2 linked regions of the Oryctolagus cuniculus genome follow. The main gene of each other region encodes a partner of the protein of the gene in region 2 in a complex. Links are inferred from orthologs where the notes say so. Each region holds a gene or a part of one and is shown on either strand. Other genes may lie near its edges.

Evidence for each region. The genes of interacting proteins can lie anywhere in the genome.
Region 1: the proteins of UBA3 (region 2) and UBE2F are in contact, whole or in part, in a crystal structure (PDB 3FN1), measured with the Homo sapiens proteins. The link is inferred for Oryctolagus cuniculus from reciprocal best matches to the Homo sapiens genes UBA3 and UBE2F. Residues at the interface, in NP_003959.3 of Homo sapiens: Ala401, Thr403, Thr405, Leu406, Glu407, Gly408, Asn410, Arg411, Thr412, Ser417, Val418, Thr419, Ser420, Ile421, Arg424, Thr425, Gln442, Glu443, Ala445, Ala447, Asp448, Val449, Thr451, Pro452, Gln453, Thr454, Leu456; in NP_001265234.1 of Homo sapiens: Thr27, Arg28, Arg29, Val30, Asp34, Lys35, Val38, Lys39, Val41, Ala42, Glu45, Val54, His55, Phe56, Pro57, Asp58, Pro59, Asn60, Leu62.

Annotation. Positions count from the first base shown.
Region 1 is NC_091434.1:2,367,765-2,378,138, forward strand, and holds the start of UBE2F (NEDD8-conjugating enzyme UBE2F), read right to left. Parts: upstream 5,083-10,374; 5' UTR 3,860-5,082; coding exon 3,837-3,859; intron 2,278-3,836; coding exon 2,144-2,277; intron 1-2,143. UniProt on the Homo sapiens protein: Accepts the ubiquitin-like protein NEDD8 from the UBA3-NAE1 E1 complex and catalyzes its covalent attachment to other proteins. Together with the E3 ubiquitin ligase RNF7/RBX2, specifically neddylates cullin-5 (CUL5).
Region 2 is NC_091441.1:80,253,702-80,264,281, forward strand, and holds the start of UBA3 (NEDD8-activating enzyme E1 catalytic subunit), read left to right. Parts: upstream 1-4,812; 5' UTR 4,813-4,898; coding exon 4,899-4,918; intron 4,919-5,104; coding exon 5,105-5,146; exon of another isoform or gene 5,147-5,586; intron 5,587-6,940; coding exon 6,941-7,061; intron 7,062-8,321; coding exon 8,322-8,402; intron 8,403-10,580. Other genes in the region: ARL6IP5 (PRA1 family protein 3), read right to left, coding at 123-298. UniProt on the Homo sapiens protein: Catalytic subunit of the dimeric UBA3-NAE1 E1 enzyme. E1 activates NEDD8 by first adenylating its C-terminal glycine residue with ATP, thereafter linking this residue to the side chain of the catalytic cysteine, yielding a NEDD8-UBA3 thioester and free AMP.

The DNA.
Region 1 (10,374 bases), on a different chromosome or scaffold from region 2:
TACCCTGCTGCGCTAAAGCTGCAACCTGGGCACATCCCTAACCGCTCCAGGTCTCCGCTCTGCAGCTGCAGAGTGAAGCACCCACTCGGCATGGCTCTGCAAGGCAAACGGGGATGACCCGGTAAAGGGCCTGCTATGGTTTCAATTTGTCCAAATCCACTGAAAGCGTAACCCTCACTGGTGGTACTGGGAGGCAGGCCTTTGGGAAGTGATGAGGCCGTGAGGGCTCCGCCCTCGCGAATGCATTAGTGCCTCCCACAAAGGCTGGAGAGAACTGGCTGAGGGCTTTCGGCCCCGCGGTCTCGGCGCTCTCCCCCCTGGAGGATGCAAGAACAAAGCACCACCTTGAAGGAGAGCGGCCCTCACTCACACCAACCCCACTGGAGCCCAGACGCGGCTTCACAGCCTCCAGACCCGTGAGAAATACGTCTCCGTTACCTGCAAACTCCTCAGGCTGCAGTGTGTCACACGGCAGCACACACGGAATACGGTGCCCAGCGAAGGGCCTGGCCCTAGGTGGCCAGTGCTCAGAAGCTGCACGACCGCGTACATGACAGGCTGAGGAAGATGGGCCCGGTCACCCCGGTCACCTGTCAGCTTCTACCTGCTCCTCCTCGGGGGCCCAGCTCTCACTGCAACCCCTGGCGTAAAACCTGCCCCACAAAGGCACCGCAGAAGCACGCCCAAGCCTGCACTTGGCTCACTGGATGCCCGGATCGGAAAAGGAGGCTCCAGTCCTTCCTAACACGCACGGGCATTTCTGGCCCACGTGTCACCCCTGATCCCAGCAGGGTAAACCTTCCAGTGCTGTGACAAACTGAGTATGATCTAGTGTTCCCTGGACTCAGTGGGTAAGGCCAAGAGGATAAAAAGGATAACCCAGGGGCCGATGCTGTGGCAGAGCAGTTAAAGCCACTGCCTGCAATGCCGGCATCCCACACGGGCGCTGGTTTGTGTCCCGGCCGCTCCAGCTCTCTGCTATCACCTGGGAAAGCAGTGGAGGATGGCCCAAGTCCTTGGGCCCCTGCACCCACATGGGAGACCCAGAGGAAGCTCCTGGCTTTGGATCGGCGTAGCTCCGGCCATTGTGGCCATCTGGGGAGTGAACCTGTGGATAGAAGACCTCTCTCTCTCTGCCTCTCAAATAAATAAGTAAATCTATTTTTTTTTTTTCAAAGGATAAGCCAAAGCTAAGATTCGGAGCAGGGGAAGAACAAGGAAGGGAAAGAACAAGGAAGAACACGCTCTTGTCTCTATAAACCAGTGCTTTCCTGTCCCCGTTCCGTCCCCGCTTGGTGGTGATGTGTGTCTGGGAAGGCCAAACCCTGTGCACTTTCCACACACCAGCCTCCTGCCGTCAGAGCCCTTCAGTCACACGAATGCCAGAATCCCATGCTGCCTCTGACCCCACGTGAAAACGGGCAGTTGGAACACACTACTCAACTCAGTGCTTTCCAGCTTCAAGAAGTGTAAACATCTGTCATAAAATACAAGTGCTGCAAAGCACAACCCCTTCAAGGCAGCAACTGTTCGTTACAGTTTGTAGGCTTCATGAGCCCAAAGTGCCCCCCTGCACCTGCACGCAGTAAACCCAGTGAATGAAGGGGAAAGTCACACACACACAGGCAAACCCACGTCACACCCCCACGCATCCCCACGCACTGCAAGTCTGCAAAGCTTCTCAAAGTCGGCTTCCTTTCCAGCAGGGACAGTGCAAACGGATGCAGCGCCAAGACACTGCTGTGCCCGTGACGGGAGCTCATTTGCCAAGGGCGTGCCTCACACTTCGACAGAGTAAACAGGAAAGGATCCCAAGAGACCACCCAGTTCAGCTCCCTCCATCTTACAGACTGGGAGCCACGGTGCTGAGTGGCAGGAGGAGAGGACGATGACAGCACTGAGACGGGCCACGCCTGGGCCTGCCTTCACCTGCACGCTGGAAGGCCCAACAAAGGACATCGCGAAGGTGAGACTCCTGCAGTTCCTAACGCCAGTCCCCGCCATCAGCGTCCCACAAAGCCCTGCTGTAAGCGGTAAGCACGTCGCATTTGAAAACCCGTTTAAACAGGAAGTTCTGCTCAGCAACAGCCTGCTTCGTGTCCCAGAGAGCTTCCAGCACACACAGCTCAGAGACAGGGATTACCTTTCACGAGCAGCTTGTCTCTCACGGAGACCCTCCGCGTGGAGTCCGCCGCCGAGGCTGCCGTCCGGGACCCTCTGAGCCCGTCGTCCCGCTTCAGCTTGCTGGCCAGTGTCAGCATCGCTGCCACCTTTCCCCTGGGAGCAGAGCACAGCAGGGCAGGGGGAGTCAGAGGCCAGGCGCGAAGACACGCCCGCGCTGCATTCTCACTCCCTTCTCTAACGCGCCGAGGGATTTTGCGTTGGTTAGTAAGAACGGGTTCCTCCACGAAGATCTGAGTACTCTACGCCGTGGGCCATCGCTTTCTAGAGCCGGAATGAAAAGTTTACGAAGGCAGAGCTGTGAGCTGCACATTCACCGCGCACCGCCTGTGCCAGGCCCCAGCCTGCACCCTGGTGGAGAGCGTGGTCGGGGGAGCCCCAGTGGTGCTGCACACGCCTCCCGCTGTCCCCTGCAGCCTGTCCCTCCCAGCCTGGGGGTCTGTGCCCCCGGCGTGTGGCCCAGAGCCCAGCCTGCTGGGGATGAGCGAGCCACGGCCTCTGGAGAAGCCGCACCACAGGCCTCGTAGACAGCCCATCCGCACCTCCGCGTCTGCTCATGGTGTGGGCGACTAACATGGCCGGCGACGTCAACATCAAGACTGAGTTACAGTGAACGCCCCACACCACTGTGTGTTCAAGGGCCCCCAGACTGCTCAGGGCAAGGGAAAGAAACACCACCGATTTTTAGGCTTTTTTTTTTTTTAAGTTTTAAGTTCACAATAAAGCTGAGAAGGTTCGGAGATCTCCCATCTCCCACATATCGCCAGTCCCCATGCACACGCCACACCGTCCCCACTACCGATATCCCCCAGCAGAGGGCACATCGGAGTCTACCAATACCTGGACTAGGGCCTGCCCCTGTTCCCAACGAACTGCCGTGAACCCGAGATTCCTGCTGCTCTCACCCCTCTACAACAGAGAGGGACCCTACAACCCTGTTTTAAAGACAAAATCTGGTTACCAGCTCAACATTTCTGCACAATTGTGTTCGCATCATTTCCTTCCTACACCACTCTCCCAGAGAACACCCTGACGGAAGCACGGAGCTGCTCGGAGGCCAAGGTCCTAGAAGCCCGACAGAAGAAATCAGCCCTCTCCTCTCTGGTATTTTAGATTCATTTATTTATTTGAAAGACAGTTACAGAGAGAGGGAGAGAGAGAGGTAAAGAGGTAGAGAGAGAATCTTCCATCTGCTGGTTCACTCCCCAGATAGCCGCAACAGCCAGAGCTGCGTCGATCCGAAGCCAGGAGCTTCTTCCGGGTCTCCCACGTGGGTGCAGGGGCCCAAGGACTTGGGCGATCTTGGCCACAGCAGAGAGCTGGATGGGAAGAGGAGCAGCTGGGACTAGAACCGGCGCCCATATGGGATGCCAGTGCTTCAGGCCAGGGCATTAACCTGCTGCGCCACAGTGCCGGCCCCTCCTCGTTGGTATTTTAAACCATTTTGACCCAGCTCTTCTGTGTAGCGTGTTACGTCCGAGTCCTCTAGACTGTCAGACTTCACTTATCATTTGTGTATGAAAACAAAACACTGACATGACCTTCGGTACTGTGCATGGCCCCTGCCGTGCTGGGAACACAGATACACCCACCTGCTCTAAACAAACACTGCTCTAGGAGCGAGCACCGTGGTGCAGGGTTCAGCTGCTACTCACATGTGCACATCCCACGCCAGCATGAGTCTCAGCCGCTCTGCCTTCCTGCTACCGGCTAGGGCGGCGGTGGATGACGGCCTCCCACCTGGGACACCTGGATGGAGTTCCTGGCTCCCGGCTTTGGCCTGGCCCAGATCTGGCTGTTGCAGATGGAAGATCGACCTCTCTCTCTCTCCCTGTGCCTTTCAAGTAAAAAGCAAGCAGCACGGATTTAAATGTTCCAAAAGGAGCTTTACAGACTAGAGTTCGCGGGCCCCTAGGATTGCAAATCTGGGAAGCACTCCTACCCCTGACTTGCCTCCATTTTCCCAAGTGGACCCTGGGAAAACGGGAACCCCAGAAGTGGACTGTCCAAAGTCACTTCACTGCTAGAAGCAGTCACCACAGAAACACTAGCTTCTCTCCTGGGGAATCACAGACGTGATTTTTATCTTGAGTGTGGTCATGGTTTCAGGGCATACGTACGTCAGGACCGACTGACTTCATGTTTCAAACGTGCAGCTTAGTGTAGCTACAACTGTAACCCAGTAAAGCTGACAAAACTGTGAAGACAACACCAGTTTCTTCATTCTCTCTACCACGCCACCTGCTCAAGCAGGCCCCCACAGGGGCACGGACCCAACAGGGAACACACCTTCACCAAGGCCCAGCGAGCCAGCAGTGCATCTGATGAACTCACTTCACAGGGGAAGAGTCAGGACACCTGTGGGGGCTTCAGCCCACAAATTCCTGGAGCCAGCAGCCCAGTTCCCCGCCCTGGCAGCGCCTGGAGTGACCTATCAGGAACCCCTAAGCAGACTGGAAGCAGAGAGCAGTGCTGGCTTCCACAGCCAAGCCCACTGCCATGTGCCCAGGCTCCAGCACCTTGTCAGGGTCACTTCTGGATGGACCCAGGTCTGCATCCATCCCCCCGGGGTCAGCTGGAAGCACCAGATGCCCCACACGAGAACCAACACGTTTCTGTCCTCTAACTGACCTTAGCATTGAAAATAAGGCAAAAAGTAACAGATAGGCAAAGGCACAAAGTGCTTAAAGACCAGCAGGCAGGACCCCAGGGCCACACGCGTGGTCCAAACCAGCTCCCCGACGACCTAGGCCAACAGCTGCAGAGGGGCCGAGCACAGTGGCCACTCATTTCAGCAACACTGCCCACGCGCCCTGAAGTCCTGTGCGCAGGGGATGCCCACGCGCCCCTGAGCTCAGATCCTGGCTTGCTGCCTTTAATACGCCAGGGACCGGGGGCCAGCGCCGTGGCTCACTTGGTTAATCTTCTGCCTGAGGCGCCAGCATCCCATATGGGCACGGGGTTCTAGTCCCGGTTGCTCCTCTTCCAGGCCAGCTCTCTGCTGTGGCCCCAGGAGGGCAGTGGAGGATGGCCCAAGTGCTTGGGCCCCTGCACTTGCATGGGAGACCAGGAGGAAGCACCTGGCTCCTGGCCTCGGATCGGCGCAGCACCGGCCGTTGCGGCCATTTGGGGAGTGAACCAGCGGATGGAAGACCTCTCTGTCTCTCTCTCACTGTCTGTAACTCTACCTGTCAAATAAATAAATAAAATCTTAAAAAAAAAATACGCTGGGGACCTTCGTAGAACACACCGGGCACCAACTGCCTTGTCTTTCATGGAACACAAAGCTTACTCTCCCCAAATTCTTCGAAATCAAAGCATATCGGGGCCACCTTTTTCTCCGTCTTCTGTAGCCAACACAGAGATAACCAGAGACGCAGCTTGGCAACGTCTCCACGGCTGTGAAACTGAATCTACGCAGAAGAATTCGGGCAAAAGAATCCTTCCGACCGGCAGGAGGTCAGCCGACACCGCTCTGGATCCTCTTCCCTTCCGTTCGCCTCACTTCTCTCTTTTTTTTTTTTTGACAGGCAGAGTGGACAGTGAGAGAGAGAGACAGAGAGAAAGGGCTTCCTTTGCCGTTGGTTCACCCTCCAATGGCCGCCGCGGCCGGCGCACCGCGCTGATCCGAAGCCAGGAGCCAGGTGCTTCTCCTGGTCTCCCATGGGGTGCAGGGCCCAAGCACTTGGGCCATCCTCCACTGCACTCCTGGGCCACAGCAGAGAGCTGGCCTGGAAGAGGGGCAACCGGGACAGAATCCGGTGCCCCGACCGGGACTAGAACCCGGTGTGCCGGCGCCGCAAGGTGGAGGATTAGCCTAGTGAGCCGCGGCGCCGGCCATCGCCTCACTTCTTGAAAACCGAATTTAAAACCAAACTTCCCCTTTCCTGCCATTCGCGCTAAGGCGGCAGTTCAGGCAGGACAGACCAGCTGTCTCCAAACGCCACGGCTCGTAACCGGCCCAGCCGGGCTCCTCTGCGTGGGCCCTGCTCTCAGCCTGCACCGAGGAGAGGACCTGGGTTACATCCAGCCTCAGGTCACTCGGCACAGCTGCACCTGTGGGAAAGCCGGGCCTCCAGGGGCGGTCAGGGCCCGCTGTGGGGACCCCCACGTGGACAACTCCTGCCACGGAGAAGCCCCAGTGCAAGCACAGCAGAGCCCCCCCCACCCCCCGTTCCTAGCGGGCCCCGCTCAGGGCAGGGACAAGTCCTGCCCCTACTCCTCTTCTCCGGAAGCCAGTGCCTGGCCAGGGGGCTGGAGCCCGGCCGCTTGGTTCTCAGCAGTAGACCTGGGCCCGCAGGTACACCCAGGTGGGGGTCCCCAGGGCCTTCACCCCCCTCTGCAGCTGGCAGGCCAGCCCCTCAGCTCCTCCACACGCCCCTGCGCACTTCCAGAAGCTTCCGTCCCCTCTGACACCGGGGCTGGGCTCCTGCACCACCCAATCCTACCCTTCCTCGAGGAGCCCAGAGTCCTGCCTGGATTCCAACTCCTGAAGCCCCGCACCCCGCGCCGAGGGCACCGAGAGGGGCGGGCCCAGGCGAGGAAGCAGTCCAGGCCGGGGGAGGCCACACCCAAGCCCGCGCACCGGCAAACCCGGGTGGGCTCCGGCTCCGCAGCCAGACACCCTCCCTCGCCAGCCCAGCCCCCCCCCCCGCCCGGGGCGCGGCCTAGCGCGACCCCCGCAGCAGCCCGGAGTCCCGGCCACGTCCGGCCGCTGACCTTGGCCCCGCACGATGCAGCAGCAGCCCCGCGACGTGGGGCGGGCGCGGGCCGGTGCCGCTGGGCGCGGGCCCGGCGCCCACCAGTGGCCGGCGCGGCCGCCCGCCGTCGCCACCGCCGCTCGCTCGCCCGGCGAGGCCAGCGCCCCGGCCCCTGTCACTCGCGCGGCCGCGGCCCCGGCCCTGCCCCTTCACGTCGCCGGGCCTCTCGGCCCCGGCGCGGTCAGCGCCCTCCCGGCCGGCCCAGGCCCGCCGGTGCACCGGCGCTGAGGGAGCCCGCAGCCGGCCCCGGCCCCCGCGGGGCCGCGCGGCCGCTCCTCACCTGGGCACCCGGAGACAGGCGAGGCGGGCCCGGCGCCCAACACCATGCCCGGCCCGGCGGCGGCGGCGAGACGCGGCCCCTCACAGCCGCACCGGCTCCGGGCGGCGGGACCGGAAGTGGCGGGGCGGGGACTCGGTCTCTCCTGCGACAGCCGCGAAGGCAGCGGGCGCTTTAAAAAAAAGATTCAAAGCGGCGAAGAACTTTATTTGGAGCCGGACTCGCGAACAGCTGCGTGCGCGGGCCGGGAGGGGCGTCGTGTGGCCCTCGCTGATTGGCAGAGAGCGGCGGCTGGGGGTGGGGACAAATTTTCACGGCCCTGACTGATTGGCCAGTGGCGGCCGGGGGCGGGGCGGGGGCGGGGCCCCCCGCGGGTGCCGGAGCCTGCGCGCCCGAGCTCGGCGTGGGGAGCGGCGGGGCGCTCGAGGCTCCGGGGCTGTGCTGTGCTACGTTCATTCCGGGGTTCGCCCTGGAGGAGCGGCCAGGCCGGAGTCGCCCGCCTCGACGGATGGAGAGCCGGGGGTGCAGAGGCCCTGTCCTGTCCTCGCCGGTCACGTGTGCACCTGCTTTTCTCTCGTGAATGTGTTTAAAGCCTGGTGGGAGCTTTCTGTTCCTAGCGAGTGGAGTGCGAGTCCTTCCCGTGCCGGGGTTCGCCAGGAGTCAGCGAAGGCTCAGAGGGTGAATGACACCTGTCAGATTTGCTGTCCCTGGGCCGGTGGGAGGGAAGTCAGGAAGACTCGAAGCTCCCCCAGGCTTAGCCACCGCTCAGCCCTGGGGGAGGGGGCTGGGGGAGACCCCCTCGGGCCTTCTCCTTGGTGCTGCACCCCTGCGGCCACTGCCTGTGGCCCCAAGTGAGTCCTGGGCGCCCTGGCGCGGGGCAGGTGCTGGGCGCACATCTGCTGGGTAAATATTGCGTCAGCTGGTGGCGGCGAGCTGGCGATAGGAGATAAGAGCTGGGGCCAGGCCCTGGGTGGAGGGAGGGCTGATCAGCCTGGACACCTGTCTTTGGCTCTGAGTGGATCGGCCTGCGTCACACAGGAGGTCAGTTCGTGGCTGCGCCTGGGGAGGCTGCCTCCTCGGTATGTGTTCTGCCATCACCCTCACCAGGACCTCGCAAAGCCAGTGTCTGTAGGGTGAGGTGAGTGAGGCACCGACGTTAAGCTAACCTGGGATTTGCCCCCAGCCGGCACAGTGGCCGCGAAGCAGCAGCGAGGGAGCGGACGGTGGTCCCCAGGTGAATCGTGCCTGCGTCCCAGGCTCTCCCGGAACCCCAGCCTGCACTAGCTCTGGCACAGAAGACTTAGAGGACTGGATGTGAGGAGGGCGGCTCTGGGGGCTCCGGGCCAGTGCCGGGTTCACTGCCTGTGGGCCTGTCCCCTCAGTCCTGTCCTTCCAGGGGCCTCCGCGGAGCTGGGGCCCTGGCCTCTCCGGGGCACTGGGGGCAGGGGGAGGCTTCCCCTTCAGGCTCCTCCCATAGGAGAGGAGGAGGAGACCTTCCCATCCTGTCCACCCCTGCCGCCTTGGGCAGCGGCTCCCTGGAAGTTGGACCCCAAAAGCTTGGGGCATGGAAGGGGGGTGTCCCTGTTTCTGTTCCCTGCATAGCTCACATGTTGGAACCTGTCCCCGTGCCAGCAGTGTTGGGGTGTTTAGGTCACGTGGGCTCCCATCGTGAACAGGGGCACGCCATAGCGAGCGGGTTCTCTGTCTCTGCTTCCTGGAGACGCAGCAAGGCGGCTCTCGAAGCTGCCGGCACCTGATCCTGCGTGGTCGCCTCCAGAGCCGTAAGGAACAGGTTCTGCTCCTTGTCCGTCTCCCAGGCTCTGTAGCCTGTGGAGCCGCACACGAGGGCCTTCTGAACGCAGGCGCAGGGGCCGTGCAGCCTCACCCAGGGCTTTGGGCGCTCCGGCCCGGAGCAGCCTGCCAGCTGGTCGACCGGTGCCTGCTGGGCTCAGGAAGCATCTGCAGATGAAAGTGACCTCTGGTGACCTCTGCCACAGTGTTAATGAGCTCAGGCTGCTGGATGGTGCCAGACTAGGGACTTTTTTTTTTTTCTTTAAGATTTAATTATTTATCATTTAAAGGCAAGAGTTGCAGAGAGAGAGAGATTGATCTTCCATCCACTGGTCCACTCCCTAGATGGCTGCAATGGCCAGGGCTGGCCCAGGCCAAAGTCAGGAGCCAGGAGCTTCATCCCAGCCTCCCGTGTGGGTGGCGGGGGCCCAGCTGCCTGGGCCATCCTCCACTGCATTTCCCAGGCCCTTGGTAGGGAGTTGGGTCAGAAGTGCAGCAGCCAGGACGCGGGATGCCGGCGTCGCTGGCAGTGGTTTACCTGCTACACCACAATGCCGACCCCAGACCGAGCAGGGCTTAAACAACAGGTTTTGTTAGTCCTCTCGCATTTGGGAATGCTGGAAGTGTAAGCTAAGGTCCAGCAAGGTAGATTTTATCCTGAGGACCAGGAAGTGGCCGTCACCTCGCGGTGCACGCACGAGGCAGGGAATGGGCCCCCTGCCATCTCTCCCTTCCTCTTCTCGTTTTCCTTTTGTTTCTTAGAGGGGCAGAGACAGAGCTCCCAACCTCTGGTTAGGTCCCAGGCCGGGTGCCAAAAGGGAGAACTTGATCCACATCTCCCACGTGGATGGGTGGTAATAACCCACTTACCTGAGCCATCACCGCTGCCTCCCAGGGCCTGCACCCGCAGGAATCAGGCAGCAGGAGTGGAGCCCCAGGTGCGGGCACTCTGATAGGGGACATCTTAACCAGCGCCTTCCCTGCGCGGCCACGCTCCTGCTTATAAGGAGAGAATCCTGCCTCATGGCCTCCTTCAGTCTGAATTACTCCAAGCACAGCCACACTTGGCGTTCGGGCTTCCACATCCGGATTTTGGGGAAATATTCAGTCCGTGAAGTTCAGTTAAAACCTTGGAGAGACACACCTCCCCCAGCCAGCTGCTCCATCCTTACCTCACCTGCCCCGGGGAGGGGCCAGTGGTCAGCGGTCACCATTCATTCCTCAGCAGAGTGGGCAGGCCTGGCTCTGGGTTTCAGCGAGGGATTGGCCCCTGGTCTGGCTGAGTCAGCATCAGCCCCGCCCACTGGGCGCTGTGGGACAATGGCCTGTGCCTCTTCCTCCAGTACACACTGTGCTTTCCCTGGC
Region 2 (10,580 bases):
GGGAGTCCCTGCATCTCGGGACCTGGCACACGGAGCCCCCGACCCCCGCCCCGTGTCGACCCCGGATCCGTGGCCCCGATCGATCAGTGTCCCCCCACCCCCGGTGGAGGAACCCCACTTACCCCACGACGGAAATCATCATGGCAGCCACCACCAGGTAGTTGGTCTGGTAGTACAGCAGGTTGCTCACCACACGGTTGTTCCATTTGGAAATGTCCCTGAAGTCCGGCCGGGCGAAGCGGTCAGAGCCCGGGAAGAAATCGTCCCAGGCGCGGAGTGGGGCGATATTCACGTCCATGTCTTCTTGGCTTTGGGTTCTTCGCCTCCGGAATCTGGCGGCGGCGGCAGCGGCAACCTATCCGGGTTAAAGAGCTGACAGCGGCTCCGTCTCGATCGGCTCTGCGGTTGGCGAGCAGCCGAGCAAGGGAAATTGGGAGCGGGAGGGCGTGTTTTCGCTCCTTTACTTCTCGATTGGCTCCAAGGGGTTGGTTACGGGAAAATGGGGGCCCCGCGACAGAGCAAGGCACCGAGCACACGGAATGGAGATGAAATGGCACTGAAAGCAATCAGCGGAAATCCAGTCTGCAGCAAGGTGGCAATGCCTTCCCTGACGGTCTAAATAGCAGCCCCCTTTTAACACCAGCGTTTAACCTAGGAATGTGTTTTCTGCCATAGAGAAAAAAATGCGCAGCTGTTCAGATGCTGATCTACGAAAAATGGAAGGAGACCACGGTATCACAAGAGGATGAGCTGTATTTAAAGACTGATTCTTAGTAACTTCTGTCCGATCGACCACAGTACTCATCTGCTTTCTGTTTCACCCTGAGTCACTAAGCGTGAAATCAGATGGGCAAAACGCGAAATAAGGAGGAGAGAAGGAAAGGGCTGTTTTGTTTTTTCACTTCTCTATTTTTGTTCTCCACCTCTATTCCTTTTGTGGCAAAATTATCGAACTGCTATGGCATTCTAAAAAAACTAACCCAGTAGGCGCACAGGTCACTGAAAGCCAACCATTGCTTGTGGTGAACTGATGGTTCTGCACCCTGTATTTTCTGAGCAGAAGCAAGACTTCCACTCCAAAGCAGCTTTCTCAGTTTTATCCCCATATTTGGTGACAATTTTCATTAAGGGAGCCCGGTATTGTAGTAGACAAGGTAATGGTTTGTTTGCCAGCCTCAACAATTGGCAAGAGATGTATTGTAAATACTTCTCTTCCAAGGCCCAGAGGGTCATCTTCGTTTTAGTTATGGGGCTGGTTGGTGCAGTAAACCTCCTCTTCTCTCAGATTCCTGAGCCAAAAGGACAGCCATCCCTTGGAATCCATGGAGGGTTGATTCTAGAATCCCCTAGAGAGCCAAGGCTGCGGATACTCACGTCCTCTACAGAAAGTGGTGCAGTGTTGATGTAGAACCTTCTCACATTCTCCTGTATATTTTACATAGCCTCTAGATTGCTAACGACACCTAATGCAATATTGTTTAGGGAATAATGACAAGAAAATGGTCATGTTCAGCATAGGTAACTTTTTTTAAACTATTTTTTAAAAACTATGTAAACTATTAAACAAACCATGGTTTGTTGAATCTATAGATGCAGAGACTGTATTTTGGTTAATTTCATAGTGTGTTAGGCAGCATGTGGAGATGACCATGTCTAAGGTGACAGGTTCTCACAACTTGGAAGTGGTACTGTTTTAACAAAGATCCAATATTCGTAAATTTTACCAGCTCACAGATTTTCAGAAAACTGGAAAGCACCAAGATATACTCGATACAAAGTCTATAAGAGATAAATTAACATTCCTGGTTGATTCAGAGGTAGTAAGAAACTGACTGTGACTCCAGTGAAATTCTTTCTGCTGCTGGTGCTTAGGAAAGCTCGGTGGCTGAACTGAATTAGTGCCAAGACAGATTCTAGGTGCTGCTAAAACGTGAAAATATCCCGAGTTCTCACACTTTCTTGGCTCTGGAAATGTGAGGGTTAAAATCAGAGAAAGCAAAGTTAGAGTCCTAGTTCCTCCCTCTCTGGCAGGTGACTTTGGGAAAATTTCTTCACCCCCTGCCCCACCAGCCTGAATTTCTTCATGATAAAGTGTGGAGAATAGGCCATCTGCCCATCTGCCACATAGGTCAGGATAAATGAAAGACTGGATGGGAAGTGTTCAGTGTTAGTAAAATAGCACAGTGTTATCTGTGGCGCGATCTACACCATCCTTGGCTCTAGCCCCAGCTGCCATTGCTAGAAGTCAGGTGACCAATAGCCCAACACCTCTCTCTCTCTCCCTCTCTCTCTCCCTCTCCCCCCTCCCTACTGTCAGATTTCCCCTGTCAATAAACCCTCTCCCTTAATTCTGGTGTTTGGTATGTTAGATATTTTGGTTCTTATTAATAATAGGACCGCCCATAATAATTTTTTAAATGATTCCTGTGCTTTTACAATGTCGTCCACTGACTTTTCTCTATTTTGTGGCAATGTTGTGGTGGTGGTTTGCCAGGGGAAGATATAGACAGAGGGAGAAACGGTTGAGAATGTTCAGGACATTGCCAACTGACATTCTAAGTGGTTTCAAGGCTCTGTGAAAGCACTGTGGAGTCAAAAACAGGGAGAATGAGGCAGCCCCTCCCCGCCTGCAGGGATCCTGCAGTGCAGCAGAAAGTCTATTTAGATGTGAGAGTGCCAAAGCGAGATGTGCCAGGCCTTGGTGTTCAGTTACAGGAAGTTAGAGGGTGTGGAGGAATTTCCTGGGGCTCAAGACTCTCCCCAAGCCACACTGTGAGCAAGCTGAGAAAATGATCTGGTCTAGATGAGCGGAGCATGGGAGCCGCAGGAGGGTCCCACACCTGCGACCCAGAACTCTCAGCTTCCAGCTGCTCTGAACTGCATCACCAGAAGCCGTCTGGTGACAAGGCGACAACTCATCATCCCAGACCATCAATTTGCTCAGTGCATTTGTATTTATTTGTTGAAACCTCTAAAGAGGTTTCAAAACTAAACAAAACAAAAGCAGGGCAGGCATGCTGGTGCAATGGATCAAGCCATTGCTTGTGATGACAGCATCCCATGTCAGAGTGCCCTGGCTCGTGACTTTGGCGATAACTGAGGTGTCCGTAGCTTTTCCCCAGGGGAGGTGGCTATGATGCTTTCGGCCACTAATAGAATACTATTTTGAAAGCGTCCCTGTGGGAGGGGCAGCCTCTAGGAGATCATTTTGATAGGCAAGGATTTCACCTCCATGGAGCTGTCTGGGCAAGAAGTGATTTCTGAGTTGATACAGAAACATGTGATCCAGAAAGGGGCTGGTGTCTCCTGCTGTGGGCTGTTGACTCCACTGCCGCACTCACTGCCTGGCACTGACTCAGCTCAGTGAAAGCCGTTGATGAACCCAGCTGGGGATGCTAAGGACAAGGCTTCCTTAAGGTTCAGTGGAGAAGACCACAAAGAACAGAGTAAACATCGCACTAATGTAACAGCAGCTACGCAGGCTGCGTACCCATTAGACAAAAAATACTTCTCCATTTCAGTGGTTCTTAAGCTTACGACTTCAGAATCATCCAGGGCTGGATTAGATTCACAACAAATTCCCAAGTAATGTTGATCAGGCCTTGTGTTTTGAGAACCACTTTGCTTAATTCTCAGTCTTAAAAGGCCAAAAACAGAAACAACCAAAAAAAAAAAAAAAAAAAAAACCAACCAAACAAAAAAAAACCAAAAAAACAAAAAACAAAAGGCCAAGCATTTTTTAAAATGACTGCTTTAAAAGAAAGTGCCCAAGGTCCTATAGTTAATTACTGAGAAGTAACAACTTAAATTTAGTTCTTTCTGACTTCAAATCCACTGGTGTCCTTCTCCAAAGAAGGATATGTCCGTGTGTTTGAATATATTTCTCTACCCCAGCATTCAGATTCACCTATACATGTATACACACTTCTGACACTGGAAGAAAGCAGTTAGAATGTTGTCACACGTATCTTTAGGTGATGGGATTATGAGTGTTCTAAGTCAGTTTTTAATTTTTCCTGCTTTCTAAGTATTTTTCTTCTATCTAAATACATATATTTATCTGATGTCCTCAAAGTTTTCCAGTATAGTTCCATTTTTGCTGAATTTATCTGACAGAATGAAGTGACACTAAAATACTGATTTTTTTCAAAAAGTAAAAAAATAACAAAATTCTATCCTACTCCTGTGAACAGATTTAGATAAATCTGTTCTTTTTTGAGAGGCAGAGAGAGAGAACTTCCATCTGTTGGTTCTTTCCCCAGATGGCTGCAACAGTTGAAGCTATGCTGATAAGAAGCCAGGAGCCAGGAGCTTCTTCTGGGTCTCCCACGTGGGTGCAGGGGCCCAAGCACTTGTGCCATCTTCTACTGCTTTCCCAGGCCACAGCAGAGAGTGGGATCAAAAGTGGGGCAGCCGGGACTCAAACCGGGGACCATATGGGATGCCGGCACTGCAGGCGGTGGCTTTACCTGCTACCCCACAGCTTCGGCCCCTTTAAATCTGTTCTTAAAGTGTGGACCTACACAGGCAAAGATTTTTGGGACGGTTCTTTGCTCCGGAGGCAAGCTCTAGCATACTGGAGTTAGCCTTCCAGGCATTTTTTCATTGAATATACCAACATTATATGTAATTCTTTATCAGCATATACATTGTATAAAAACAGAATGCTTTGCGTCCACATTTCACCCTGCGTGACATTACACAGGGCATAAGAGTTATCTAATGAGGGGTAGCTAATTAAGATCCTAATTGCAGCGGGACGCTTGCTTTCAAGCCCAGGGGCGCTAAGGCGCAGCCGACCCCTCCCCATCGTTGCAAGCCCCGCCCTCCCACAAGTCCCGCCCCTTCCCGCCGACTCCGCCCGCCGAGAGGGCACCTGGGAAGAGGCGGAGAACAATATGGCGGATGGCGAGGAGCCGTAAGTACCGGGGCTCTGCCGGCGCGCCGGGCTGGGCTGGGTTGTGAGAGAGCGCGGCGGAGGGCGGTCGCCGCCCCCACCCGGGGTCCCCTCCACTCCCCACCCCGTCCCCTCGCCCCCCATCCTCTCGCGGCGCCCAATGTGTAGCGTGATGCTGACCCTTCTTTTATTCTCTCTTTCTTTTAGGGAGAAGAAAAGAAGGAGAATAGAGGAGCTGCTGGCTGAGAAGTTAGTGCTGCCGGGAGGCCGGGGCCCTCTCCGGGGACCCCCGCCTCCCCTTACCCCAGGCCTAGGGGACCAGCCGCAGCGGGCCCATGGGGCTGGGAGGGGGGCACCCGGAGCTCAGGCCGCGCGGCCTCTTCCCCTGACCCCGGTCCCGCAGCAGCCCCGGGGGCCCCCGAGGGCCACTCCAGATTTGTGCCCCGGCGGGCGTCGGGGCCGGGGTGCACCTGCAGGGCCTTCAGGGGCCGCCGGGGCGTCTGACTTAAAGGTTTTGCGGAAGGACCGTTGTGCCCCCCTCTTCCTCCATCCCAAATTGTCATATCCTTGAGCTTGTGAAAAGGGAATCCAACTTACACACACACCTAACGGACACGGGGCCGTTTTGTTTTTGCCTTTCGTAAACACTGAGACAATAGTGCACACTGTGTGTGAAAACTGTGTTTCAGGTACTGTACTAAGCACGTCAACCATTTCTGCGAAATAATTGACTCTTAAAGGAGGGTGTTGACACCAACAGCTTATTTTTTCCCCACTTACCATACACCCCGTGTCTTACCAGATGATTAGTTTTGTGCTGGTGGGACAGATTTACACAGTGTTTTCGGACTGAGCCAGCGCCACATAATTTCTCTCCTCCCTACATGGGAGTGGAAAATACTCTCGCAGTGGGTGTGGTGAGTTTGTAATTTCTCTGCCAATTCCTGGTGCTTTGGTCATCCTGAGGTCTCTTCCCCCAGAACTTGAATTTCAACTGCTTAGAGTACTGGAATGACAGACTTTCCTCACCTTTGATTTCCCTTCCACTTTTGCACAAAGTGCACGACATGCCCCATCCTTTATTAAGTCCTCTGTGTTAATATCGCTTTATCCTCCTGGCCCTAAGAAGTTGCTCCCAATAGCCTGCAGTTGAGGTTTATGGCTATTCAGTAATCTGCTCAAGGTCATGGTGCTATTAGTTGTGGAGCCAAACCCGACTGCGCATCAAGACCTATGGTCTTTATTACTATGCAATACTTCTGGGTGTTACCAACATACTTGAAAGTAGAAAATTAAAAAATAACCACAACCAGATATGAATCTTGGCACTGATAAGACAGTTTGTACACTTTGGTAGAGAAGTCCCACTTTATGCAGTTGTATATCCTGAAAGGTTTCTAGGTGTGATGACAAGCTGAGTTTTTTTTTTTTTTTTTTTTTTTTTTTTTTTTTTTAACTGTAGTGGCAACAGAAACCACCTCACAGGACTCAGTAATTTTTGAAAATTTGGACTCCTGTTTCTGAGAAAACCATGTCAAAGCTTCTGTCATCAGAAATGATCTTTGAATCACACCTTTCAATAGAAAATAAAGAACACATGGGTGGTGGTAGATTTGAAGCCTCAGTTCTTAGAGTGTCCCTTTTGTTGTTTTCCCATGCATATGACATTGCCAGATCAGCTGACTTGAAAGAACATACTGGGGAAGGCTGCTGTGGTCTTGTGTAAATACCACATGTAGACAAGTCCATTTCTTACCCATAGACCAACATCCCAAGTTTGACCTTGGATTACTTGAGGAACAGGTAGACTGATTTTATTTTGTCAGGTGGATGAAATAAAAAGAAAAAAAAAATAGAAGCAATCACAGGCAGTTCTTAAGTGAACCGTATAATAGACAAGTGATAGGAGAGCATAGACATGACCACATTGATCATTCCCTTTCTGTTTGAGCAGGTCTTTTCATTTGGGGAAACCATAATAACTGTAGGTGTGGCTTTTTTCCGGACTGATCTTTGCAGCTGAATTTACTGTGTTCTGTGCAGAATGGCTGTTGATGGTGGGTGTGGGGACACTGGAGACTGGGAAGGTCGCTGGAACCATGTAAAGAAGTTCCTCGAGCGATCTGGACCCTTCACACACCCTGATTTCGAACCGAGCACTGAAGTGAGAAACGTTTATTTTTAAATAACTGCTCTAATAGTTTTATGTTTCAAACATAGTAAAATGCTTCCTTTTTTAATTTGCTCTTATGAAAACTAATTTTCTTATAAAACGTAGTATTTTGAAATACTCAATTGTATATTTACAATTTACTTGAGTGAATAATATTTGAGTAATTTTCACATTTCTCACGTAATATAAGTTGAAAGAGTTCAAGAGGAAAATAACTTCATAACTTTTAAAAATTCTGTTATACTTAAAACTCCAGTTCAAAATGATTTGAGACAAATTCCTCTTCAGTAGCCCTACTATAAGATAAAAGTATAGATATGCTTATTTAAATTTTGGAATTTAGTTGGATTATCTTAGAATTGAATATATTTAGTTGCATGTCAAAAATTATATGAGTGCTAACAGTGGCATAGAATTTTTGACTGATAATGTCTGACTTAAAGAAAATGTTCAATTAGATACCTGTTTTTCATTAGGTATAGGAAAGTAAGAAAAGTATTTTTACAGTAAGTACTTGTGTCCTTTTGTAGCTTTTTTTTTTTTAAGAGATACTGTTTTGAAAGAGAAATATTGTAGTACTCTTAATGTTAAGACTTCTGAGTTTGGCACAGTGTCTTACCTGAGTAACTTTTCTCCTTTAATGTTATATAGAACTGACAGTATTAATTCTGCTTTTTTTAGCTGATATACCTTATTTTCTTTGGTTTCTGATACTTTTTGCCTGATAATTTAAAATGACCATTTCTGTTAAATAAATGTTTCAAATTGTATTTCTGAAGACATGTAGTTTTCTCAGTTTTTCTTCCCATCATGTTTTATAAGTTTACCTTGCTATTATTGTTCTTACCTTATTTTTTTAGACTTTTGAACACCTCAGTGCTTGATCCTGGATTTTTAAGATTTTTAAACTTTGTGTGATTTTTAAGGAGTCAGTTCTCAATTTGAGGCTTTCCATTCCCTTTCAAAAATTAAGGAAAACAAGCGAGGATAGTTTTTCTTGTAGTCAATAGATGTTTAATTTCAGACAATAAAAGTCAATTTAAAAACAAATTCTCTGAAATCATTAAAGTTTTAGAGTTTCTGGTTGTATATAATTCATAGATTTGAAATGATCTGTAAAATATAAAAGGATGTTCTTTATCCTTAATTGCATTTTTGGTGGAAATGTTGAAAATTTTCTTATGACTTGTTGTTTGTGGATGGTATTTATGATTATCAGCAGATTTTAATGTGACTTTTTGTTCTTTACAGTCTCTCCAGTTTTTGTTAGATACATGTAAAGTGCTAGTCATTGGAGCTGGCGGCTTAGGATGTGAGCTCCTCAAAAATCTGGTAATACACATGTATATATAAAATGTCTCTCCCCTCCCCCTTTGTGATAAATAAAGCAGTTTGCTTTTTTTAAATACTAGGAAATATCTTTTTTTCTTTTTTAAAAAAAGCAATTTATTTCAGAATAGGTTTAAATTTATGACAGGAATTGTGAAGTGGTACAGAGTTCGCACATACTCTACACACCAGCTTCCTTTATTGTTAATATATTAGTATATTTGTCAGAATCTGTACACCATGCCCAGCTTCCCATTATTAATACCACATTTCAGTAAACTATATTTATTACAATCTATATCCAGCATCCCTTAATATCTAGCACTAGGAAATTTCTTTATTGTGTTTTCTTTTAAGATTTGTTTTATTTATTTGAGAGGCAGAGTTATAGACAGAGAGAGGTTTTCAATCCACTGGTTCACTCCCCCAGTGGCCGCAATGGCTGGAGCTGGGCCAACCCGAAGCCAAGAGCCGGGAGCTTCTTCAGGTCTCCCACATGGGTGCAGGTGCCCAAGGACTTGGGCCATCTTCTGCTGCCCTCCCAAGCACATTAGCGGGGAGCTGGATCAGAAGTAGAGCAGCCAGGACTCGAACAGGTACCCATATGGGATGCAGGCAGAGGCTTAACCTACTATGCCACAGCACTGGCCCCTATTGTGATTGTTAGCCTTTTCTTTCCTTTTTTTTTTTTTTTTTTTATTTAAAGATTTATTTATTTCTTTGAAAGGCAGAGTTACAGAGGTGTAGAGGCAGAGAAAGAGAGATCTATCTGCTGGTTCACTCCCCAGATGGCTGCAATGGTTAGAGCTGAGCTGATCCGAAGCCAGGAGCCAGGAGCCAGGAGTTTCTTTTGTGTCTCCCGTGTGGGTGCAGGGGCCAAGGACTTGGCCGTCCTCTGCTGCTTTCACAGGGCATAGCAGAGAGCTCTATTGGAAATGGAGCAGCCAGTGCCCATATGGGATGCTGGCACTGCAGGTGGCAGCTTCATCTGCTATGCCACAGTGCCAGCCCTGATTGCTAACCTTTTTTTTGGAGCTTTTGTTAGATAAGTTTAACAGGTCAGATTCTATATGGTAATTTAAGTGATAATATGACTTTGAAACTTTGTAGACTCTAAAGTTCTCAGTTATATAAAGTCATTGATAAATTTATGTTCATTTACTTCTCTGCTCTTTATTGAGCAAATTTTGGTACTTTCTTGTGAAGTGCTCATTAATTTCAGTGAAATAAATAAGAAAACAGATAATTCAGATTTTATTGTGTGGTTTCAAATAATTTAGTATTTTTCTTCTCCAAATAACCCAGATAGGTGGGTAGGACGTTCATTGTCTTGTTTTACCTAGACATAGGTTATGTTGAGGTTAGAGATGTTAAATGACTTGTCTGAGCATTTTGGATTGTAGTTATGTGCCTGCAATCTAATCTGGGTCATCAGTCCTTAGTTAAGTGTTCTTTTTCACTAAGACATTAGCTCATTATTTGACTTAATGAGATGGTAACTTTTTTTTTTTTTTTTTTGCCAGGCAGAGTTAGACAATGAGAGAGAGAACAGAGAGAGAGATATAGACAGTGAGAGAGATACAGAGAGAAAGGTCTTCCTTCCATTGGTTTACTCCCCTAATGGTTGCTATGGCCAGCGCTGCACCGATCCGAAGCCAGGAGCTGGGTACTTCCTCCTGGTCTCCCATGCGGGTACAGGGACCCAAGCACTTGGGCCATCCTCTGCTGCCCTCCCGGGCCACAGCAGAGAGCTGGACTGGAAGAGGAGCAACCGGGACAGAATCTGGCGACCCAACTGGGACTAGAACCCGTGGTGCCGGTGTGACAGGTGGAGGATTAGCCAAGTGAGCCACGGCACCGTCCCGAGATGGTAACTTTTGATGACCATATGGTGGTAGATACATAAAACTTGGGAAAACTAAGATTTAAAAAAATTATTTATTGTTGATTTCTCTTGGAAAGGTAGAAAGAGAGATGTCTTCTACCTGCTGGTTAATTCCCACAGATGTCCACAACAACCAAGGCTGGGTCAGGCTAAGATCAGGAGCCAGAAACTCAGTCTCAGTCTCTGACGTGGGTGGCAGATATCCAAGTACTTGAGCCATTACCTGCTCCCTAACAGAGAGTATGTTAGCAGGAAGCTAGAATTGGAAGCGGAGCTGGAACCCAAATCCAGGCACT